Linked DNA regions of Xenopus tropicalis. The protein of the gene in region 1 binds, or shares a complex with, the protein of each later gene. Links are inferred from orthologs where the notes say so. Each region holds a gene or a part of one and is shown in the gene's direction. Other genes may lie near its edges.

What was found.
Region 2: the proteins of phf2 (region 1) and vrk1 are in contact, whole or in part, in a crystal structure (PDB 8F8Y), measured with the Homo sapiens proteins. The link is inferred for Xenopus tropicalis from reciprocal best matches to the Homo sapiens genes PHF2 and VRK1. Residues at the interface, in NP_005383.3 of Homo sapiens: Tyr7, Tyr14, Val16, Thr17, Arg18, Phe19, Met20, Ile21, Glu22, Trp29, Glu39, Ala42, Ile45, Asp46, Tyr48, Lys64, Tyr145, Ser147, Glu150, Lys175, Val178, Asp179, Tyr182, Ser183, Thr184; in NP_003375.1 of Homo sapiens: Pro2, Arg3, Val4, Lys5, Ala6, Ala7, Gln8.

Annotation. Positions count from the first base shown.
Region 1 is NC_030680.2:152,120,954-152,125,286, reverse strand, and holds the start of phf2 (lysine-specific demethylase PHF2), read left to right. Parts: upstream 1-1,500; 5' UTR 1,501-1,578; coding exon 1,579-1,676; intron 1,677-4,333. UniProt on the Homo sapiens protein: Lysine demethylase that demethylates both histones and non-histone proteins. Enzymatically inactive by itself, and becomes active following phosphorylation by PKA: forms a complex with ARID5B and mediates demethylation of methylated ARID5B.
Region 2 is NC_030684.2:89,325,963-89,330,168, forward strand, and holds the start of vrk1 (serine/threonine-protein kinase VRK1), read left to right. Parts: upstream 1-1,382; 5' UTR 1,383-1,490; intron 1,491-2,572; 5' UTR 2,573-2,576; coding exon 2,577-2,736; intron 2,737-2,930; coding exon 2,931-2,986; intron 2,987-3,658; coding exon 3,659-3,728; intron 3,729-4,206. UniProt on the Homo sapiens protein: Serine/threonine kinase involved in the regulation of key cellular processes including the cell cycle, nuclear condensation, transcription regulation, and DNA damage response.

The DNA of each region.
Region 1 (4,333 bases):
TTGGCCTCCCCCTAGTTCCAGCCATGGGTGCACCCTGTAATGGTCACTCTGGATCAACACCGGTTCTGCCTCCTCTGTAATGGGTTTCTGCTGCCTAAACCCACCCCCCTGGGCAAAACAAATGTGTAGAACAGCTTGGTACCGACATGGAAAACCTACCCCCCGGCCCGCTTGTGTATAAATCCCCACAGAGTTACTGGGCAGCACCAGTACTCGTTCCAGTACCCAAAGTAAAGGACAGTACAACTGGTAGTATTACCCATAAGTACCAGTACTCGGAGCGCTGCCGTACATCACTCCTGGCAGTAACTGCCCAAATCCGGTATTAGCTGGACAGCACTTATGGTACCTCTGACCCAGATTATAGCCCTTACTATAGTACCAGAACCTGAGTAGTAAGACCCAGCAGAACTTACAAAAATACCAGAATATTACCCAGCAGAACTTAAAAGCAGTAACAGTACTCAGAGTATTATCTGCCAGCACCATAGAACAGAACCAGTACCCCAATGTATTAGCCTGCAGAACCTAAAGCAATGCCAATGCCTGCAGTGTTACCGGACAGTACCAATGCCAGCAGCAGTACTCACAGTATTACTGGGCAGAACTTACAGTACCTGTAGCATCCCCAGACAGTACTCATGGGGAAAGTACCAGTACCCAAGCTAAAACCAGACAGCAGAACCAGTATCGAAAAAGCCGACAGTATCAGCAGTGCCCAGAGCAGTACCAGGCAAGGCTTACAGCAGTACCGGTACCGGCAGAACCAGCAGTCAGTACACAGGGCAATACCGGCGGTACCGGGCAGTACAGTACCAGTACCGGCAGGATCAGCAGTCAGTACACAGGGCAATACGGGCGGTACCGGGCAGTACAGTACCAGTACCGGCAGGATCAGCAGTCAGTACACAGGGCAATACCGGCGGTTCCGGGCAGTACAGTACCAGTACCGGCAGGATCAGCAGTCAGTACACAGGGCAATACGGGCGGTACCGGGCAGTACAGTACCAGTACCGGCAGGATCAGCAGTCAGTACACAGGGCAATACGGGCGGTACCGGGCAGTACAGTACCAGTACCGGCAGGATCAGCAGTCAGTACACAGGGCAATACCGGCGGTTCCGGGCAGTACAGTACCAGTACCGGCAGGATCAGCAGTCAGTACACAGGGCAATACGGGCGGTACCGGGCAGTACAGTACCAGTACCGGCAGGATCAGCAGTCAGTACACAGGGCAATACGGGCGGTACCGGGCAGTACAGTACCAGTACCGGCAGGATCAGCAGTCAGTACACAGGGCAATACGGGCGGTACCGGGCAGTACAGTACCAGTACCGGCAGTACTTCCGAACAGCACTTACGACCGTACCCAGAGCGTTCCCGGCGGTACCAGTACCGGGGCAGTACCGGGCGGTTCCGGGAGGGCAGAGTAGCGGGCTGAGCCGCCCGGTTCGGCCGATGGTGTCTCCCCAGTGTGTCAGGCCTGGCTCCCCCTCCCAGTCCCTCCCTCTCTCCCTCCCTGCGTTGCTGCTGTCGCTGCTGCTGCTGTCGCTGCTGCTGTTGTGAGCGGGGATCGAACATGGCGACCGTGCCCGTCTACTGCGTCTGCCGCCTGCCCTACGATGTGACCCGATTCATGATCGAGTGCGACGCCTGCAAGGACTGGTTCCACGGCAGGTAGGGAGCCTTCCCCGGGGCTGGGAGCCGACACTGCCCGGGCTACTGGGGCACCACAGCTTCCCTGCTCTCCCCCCGACAGTACTGCCTGCAACCGGGGGTTCATTCTCCTCTGCTTCTCCCTCCGGGGGCACCGGGGCCGCCTCTGTCCCCTTCCTGCACCCCGGGGTAGGGGAGGCCTGTACAGCCCCAGCCATTTGCCCCCCTCTGTGCAACCCCTGCCCACCGAGGCCTGCAACTGCCCCTCTAAGTTCTTTAGCCCCCCCCTGTGGGACCCCCCATCTCCGGGAGGCCTCTAATAACCATAGTAACGGGGGCACCTGTCTCCCCGGGGGTCCGCTCTTACCCCTCTACCCACCTGGGGGGGCCCTTGGCATGGCTACAGCCCAATGGTAACTGCCCCCCTAGTGGGTACCCAAGCCCTAAGGGCAGCTGAGAGAACTGCCCCCCTAGTGGGTACCCAAGCCCTAAGGGCAGCTGAGAGAACTGCCCCCCTAGTGGGTACCCAAGCCGGGTAACATGTCCAGCCTTGGCATCTAACTCTTAGCCCAGAATGCCAGGGGACCCCTTGCTCTGTAAGGAGCCCAGTGTGGGCAGCTGCCCCCCAGAGTCACCCCTGTTCCTGGCACACACTGCACCTGCTGCCCATCTGCCCCTGGGGGTTGGAAGGAGCTGGGGGGCCGAGGCCTTTATGTTGTTATTCTGTGTTGTTTGTGGCAAACCGGCTGCCCCCTGCCTGCTGGGCACTGCCCCCTGTGTGCTGCTCTGGCACCGTATCCTTACTCTCTGTGCAGCCTGAGTACTGCCTGGGTACTGCCTGGGTACCGCCTGGGTATTGCCTGGGTACCGCCTGGGTACCGCCTGGGTATTGCCTAGGTACCGCCTGGGTATTGCCTGGGTACCGCCTGGGTATTGCCTGGGTATTGCCTGGGTACTGCCTGGGTATTGCCTGGGTACTGCCTGGGTACCGCCTGGGTATTGCCTGGGTACTGCCTGGGTATTGCCTGGGTACAGCCTGGGTATTGCCTGGGTACTGCCTGGGTACAGCCTGGGTATTGCCTGGGTACAGCCTGGGTACAGCCTGGGTATTGCCTGGGTACAGCCTGGGTACTGGGCACAGGCTCTTACCCCTTGTGGGATTCCCAGAGGGACTGGGAATTTACTTCTATGTATCGGGCACTGTCTCTTTAACCGATCTGTGCTGTGTGGTAGGGGGCACTGTGTGTGTTATACAGGGTAGGGGGCACTGTGTGTGTTATACAGGGTAGGGGGCACTGTGTGTGTTATACAGGGTAGGGGGCACTGTGTGTTATACAGGGTAGGGGGCACTGTGTGTGTTATACAGGGTAGGGGGCACTGTGTGTGTTATACAGGGTAGGGGGCACTGTGTGTGTTATACAGGGTAGGGGGCACTGTGTGTGTTATACAGGGTAGGGGGCACTGTGTGTGTTATACAGGGTAGGGGGCACTGTGTGTGTTATACAGGGTAGGGGGCACTGTGTGTTATACAGGGTAGGGGGCACTGTGTGTGTTATACAGGGTAGGGGGCACTGTGTGTGTTATACAGGGTAGGGGGCACTGTGTGTGTTATACAGGGTAGGGGGCACTGTGTGTTATACAGGGTAGGGGGCACTGTGTGTTATACAGGGTAGGGGGCACTGTGTGTGTTATACAGGGTAGGGGGCACTGTGTGTGTTATACAGGGTAGGGGGCACTGTGTGTGTTATACAGGGTAGGGGGCACTGTGTGTGTTATACAGGGTAGGGGGCACTGTGTGTTATACAGGGTAGGGGGCACTGTGTGTGTTATACAGGGTAGGGGGCACTGTGTGTTATACAGGGTAGGGGGCACTGTGTGTGTTATACAGGGTAGGGGGCACTGTGTGTGTTATACAGGGTAGGGGGCACTGTGTGTGTATACAGGGTAGGGGGCACTGTGTGTGTTATACAGGGTAGGGGGCACTGTGTGTGTTATACAGGGTAGGGGGCACTGTGTGTGTTATACAGGGTAGGGGGCAGTGTGTGTTTATACAGGGTAGGGGGCACTGTGTGTTATACAGGGTAGGGGGCACTGTGTGTGTTATACAGGGTAGGGGGCACTGTGTGTTATACAGGGTAGGGGGCACTGTGTGTTATACAGGGTAGGGGGGCACTGTGTGTGTTATACAGGGTAGGGGGCACTGTGTGTTATACAGGGTAGGGGGCACTGTGTGTTATACAGGGTAGGGGGCACTGTGTGGTTATACAGGGTAGGGGGCACTGTGTGTGTTATACAGGGTAGGGGGCAACTGTGTGTTATACAGGGTAGGGGGCACTGTGGTGTTATACAGGGTAGGGGGCACTGTGTGTGTTATACAGGGTAGGGGGCACTGTGTGTGTTATACAGGGTAGGGGGCACTGTGTGTGTTATACAGGGTAGGGGGCACTGGTGTGTGTACGGGTAGGGGGCACTGTGTGTGTTATACAGGGTAGGGGGCACTGTGGTGTTATACAGGGTAGGGGGCACTGTGTGTGTTATACAGGGTAGGGGGCACTGTGTGTTTATACAGGGTAGGGGGCACTGTGTGTTATACAGGGTAGGGGGCACTGTGTGTTATACAGGGTAGGGGGCACTGTGTGTTATACAGGGTAGGGGGCACTGTGTGTTATACAGGGTAG
Region 2 (4,206 bases), on another chromosome or scaffold:
GTCGCTATTGTGGACGACTAAACTCCCTGTAATGCCACCCCACCTGCAAGAATGTAAATCGCTGGTGGTATGGCATAAGCATTGCTTTGGTCGCCTGAAGTTGCCTCGCAAGGAAAACTGAAGTGACGTGTATGCTATCCCACCGGCGATTTACATAGTTGCCGCTGGGATGGCATGTCGGGGAGATTAGTTGCCCACAATAGTCAAGATTTTTTGCGGGCAACTAATCTCCCCATGTGCCACTGCCCTAAACATTTGATATTAATTTTGGTCAATTTCACCAATTATTTTCCCAAAATTAGCTAGACCCTACATTGTAAATAATGTGGCCCTTGTTTTACAACAAAACAATAGGACCTCAGAGTATTAAAAAAAAAAAAACTACATGACTTCATTTCAACCAGCCCTAGTTTGCACAAAACCCCTTTCCTTTCTGGTCAAATTGGAAAAAAGATATGCCAGATATAGTTAGCAAGGACAAAGTATATTTTTTATGCCTTGGTTGGGGTTATAAGCAAATACATAATTTTACTTTTAGTTAAATATTGGGAGCAGAGACTCTTGTAATGGCATGCACAGTGCTCCTGCACAAGTAGAAGCATTAAAAATGACGTCTGAAATATCGAGAACAGAGACTCTGGCAGGCAGGAAAAAAATGTGGTCTCCTGGCAAAAGTAAGTGTTCTATTAAGCAACAAATTGCTACCAACTACTGCGTGAATTGCATCAAACCACTAACAAATCACTTTCTTCCCTATAAGCAGACCCCCATAGCAGGCCGTGCTTACTTTCCCTACCTGAAGGAACAGCAAAAAATGAAAGTGTTTTAAAGGAATTAAAATATTGTTGCCCTGCAGTAGTAAAATGTGTATGTTTGCCAGAGAAACACACTATAGTTTATAGAAATAAGCTGCTGGGTAGCCACGGGGGCAGCCATTCAAGCTGAAAAAGGAGAAAAGGCACAAGGTACACAGCAGGTAACAGATAAATCCTGTAGAATATAATGGTGTTTATCTGTTATCTGCTAAGTAACCTGTGCCTTTTCTCTTTTGAATGGCTGCCCCCATGGCTACACAGCAGTTTTGTTCAAACTATAGTAGTGTCTCTAAAGCTAACACACCAGTTGTACCAGTGCAGGGGAAAAATTACATCGTAATTACTTTTATATACTTTCATTTTTTGGTGTTACTGCTCCTGTAATAACAGATTATGACTGCTAGTTAGACTGACTAGAATAGACCGCTAAGAATGACTAAGATCTTATGATTGTGCAACAACATCAACCATCCTTTGTCACTCCTCAAAAGCTTCAATTTGCGCGTCACTGCGCTTATATACGTGCAGTCGTGACGCCACGCTCTCGCGAGATGAGATTTGTGACGGCGGGATGAAGCTGCAGGCGGGAGCGTAGGACGTTTATTGCGTTGCGGGAAGTTTAAGTAGCGGTCGGGCACGGAGGTCTGTGTTAAGACAAATCGGAACTATTGGGCGGTATGTTGTTAGTAAAAGCAACAGAATAAACGCCATTTTAGAGGTTGTGTTGGGTGCGTATTGGTAGTAGTACTGTTACACAGGGCAGGTCTGATAAGTAATGTATTATCGATCTCTTGTTATTCCCTTGCACCTGCCAACATGTGAATTTCATATCAGAGCTGTTTAGTTGTTTGGCCAATTCGTTCCGCTGCATTTAAAGAGGTGGTTCATCTATAAATTAATGTATAATGCATATGCTATTCTTAGCAACGTTTCAGTTGGTCTTTTGTTGTTATCATTTTTGCTCTTCTGACACTTTCCAGCTAACAGTTAAAAATGCTTTCTGGTTGTTGGTAGGGCCAAACAGCCATTGCTCTGTGAGCCTATAATATTGTTACTTGTTAATAGTTATACTTCCGCTCTGGCCCTCTACTGTTCATCTTCTAATATGTCATTCAGTCCTCTTTCGGGTTGCTGGAGTAAATAAGACCCTAGCAACCAGTTACCCAGACCTGTGGCAACACAGTAGGGTGGCCAGGGCAAGGCCTGAAATCACTCAGCACAACCCCCTCCCTTAACTATTCTCATGTTCTTTTGCCCCACTGCTCTCCAACTCTCCAACCCCCACTCCCCCTTTCCTTCCACTCCTCTGGGCAACTCAGATCTTCTATCTGAACCCTGTTTAGCAGATAGGATGAGTGTCACAATGGTGGCAAAGTAAGTACCTGCCAAGGGGCCCCCAGTCCTTGCACCCCAATTCTTGACTTGTAATAACAGAAGTGTATAACTACTGTCACAAGTCATTCATGGGCTCTTACAGGTGGATTACAGGCTTGTCAGAGTAGGTGTGACCCGAATAGGCAGTCTTAAAAAATGCAAGATATGACATTGCCCTGAAAGGATACAAGTTGCCTTATGTTATTTGTTTTCTTCCTAGCTCCTAACCCACTTTTAGTCTGTATTCACTTTATTTTGTACTGAATTCTCCCTCCTGTGATAAGCATTCTTATCATACATACATAAATACATACATAGATATTTTTTAAAATCACTTTTGAATTCTGTTTTTAATTTTTGTCTAAATTTCATTTCCAATGCAGAAAAATGCCACCCAAAAAAGCAGCGTCAGGAGCCAGAAAGGCCCCAGCTAAAAGAAAGTTGGCTGAAGAGTTTCCTGCAGGGGAAGTGCTAACAGATTCAGCAAAAAAGCAATGGAAATTGGGGTTACCTATTGGACAGGGTGGATTTGGCCGTCTTTATCTTGGTAAATTTGTATTTATTTTGTAAATGGAATTGTGTTCTTATGTTTCACATTTTCTTGATGGATAGCACACAAACTTACAGGTACCACACAGCTGAACCCATTTTAATTCTATTACGTATGTTATATAACTAATATAAAGTAAACTATATAAATTCAAAATGGAAATGTCAATAATGTAAGATTTTATTTCTCAGCGGATGAAAATTCTTCTAGAACTGTAGGACCAGATGCTCCGTATGTCATTAAAGTAGTAAGTGGTTTTTCCCCTACTATTACCTTTTAGTATCCGTGATCTATTGGGTGATGTTATCATTGTAACTCCATCCTACCAATGCAATAGATAGTGCGAAAAGTTAAATAGACCTCAGTGTTAGGAGTATCCTTAGATAATTCAGTTTTGTCTAGAGTGGCCAAAACACTACAAACTCTAGTTAATTTAAAAGGCTATCCCTCTTGAATTATGGATGAATGGATATTTTTAATGGTTTGTTTACTAGTACATTGCTAGAATTACCGGTATGCATAAACAGAGGAATATTTTGCAGTAACCTACAGCAGTAGATACAATGTTATTATTCTAGTTTTATTTAAAGTATGTCTTTTTTAGCATTGAGCATTGGACAATTCTGTAACTATAGACATATACCTTTTTTTTTTTTAAAGGCCATATTATAAAACTACTGGAGGTGTTCCTTTTGCCTAGATTTTTTGTTATTATCATTCAGCTAATTGATCCTATTCAAAGCCTGTACTTATGAACTGTGGGTTTCCGTTGGATCCCTGACTGATATGGAATGAATGCTGTCTTATAAAGCAAGATGGAATGCCTGACCTAAAGCAAATGCCATATACATTTATGGATTTACTCTAACTACAGTTAATAGGATGCTGTTATATGTTAAACCATATTTTAAATCTGTAGGAACCAAGTGAGAATGGACCACTTTTCTCTGAACTTAAGTTCTACATGCGTGCTGCAAAACCTGACCAGAGTAAGTTGGACCTTAATATTGTCTGATTGTGCTTTCCCAATATATCAACAATAGATAACAAGTTACTACTCTACAGAGATTTTACCTTTCTCAGTGTGTAATTTTATTTGTTTTAAAACATTAACGGCATTTTCACAGCAATGCTGGGTATTTTATTTAACCTGAGTGTTAAAGGAATACTATTATGGGAAAAAGTTTTTTTTTTTTTTCTTTTCAAAATGCATTAGTTAATAGCACTTCTCCAGCAGAACCCTGCATTGAAATCTTTTTTTCAAAAACACAGATTTTTTTAATATTTAATTTTGAAATTACACATGGGGCTAGGCTAGCCATATTCTTCATTTCCCAGGGTGCCACAGCCATGTGACCTGTGCAATGGGAAGGTATCAAAATAGCAGCTCCCATTAGATATCAGAATAGCACTCAATAGTTAGAATTCCAAGTCCGGCTTGGGACTCCTTCAGTAGGAAAAACACTA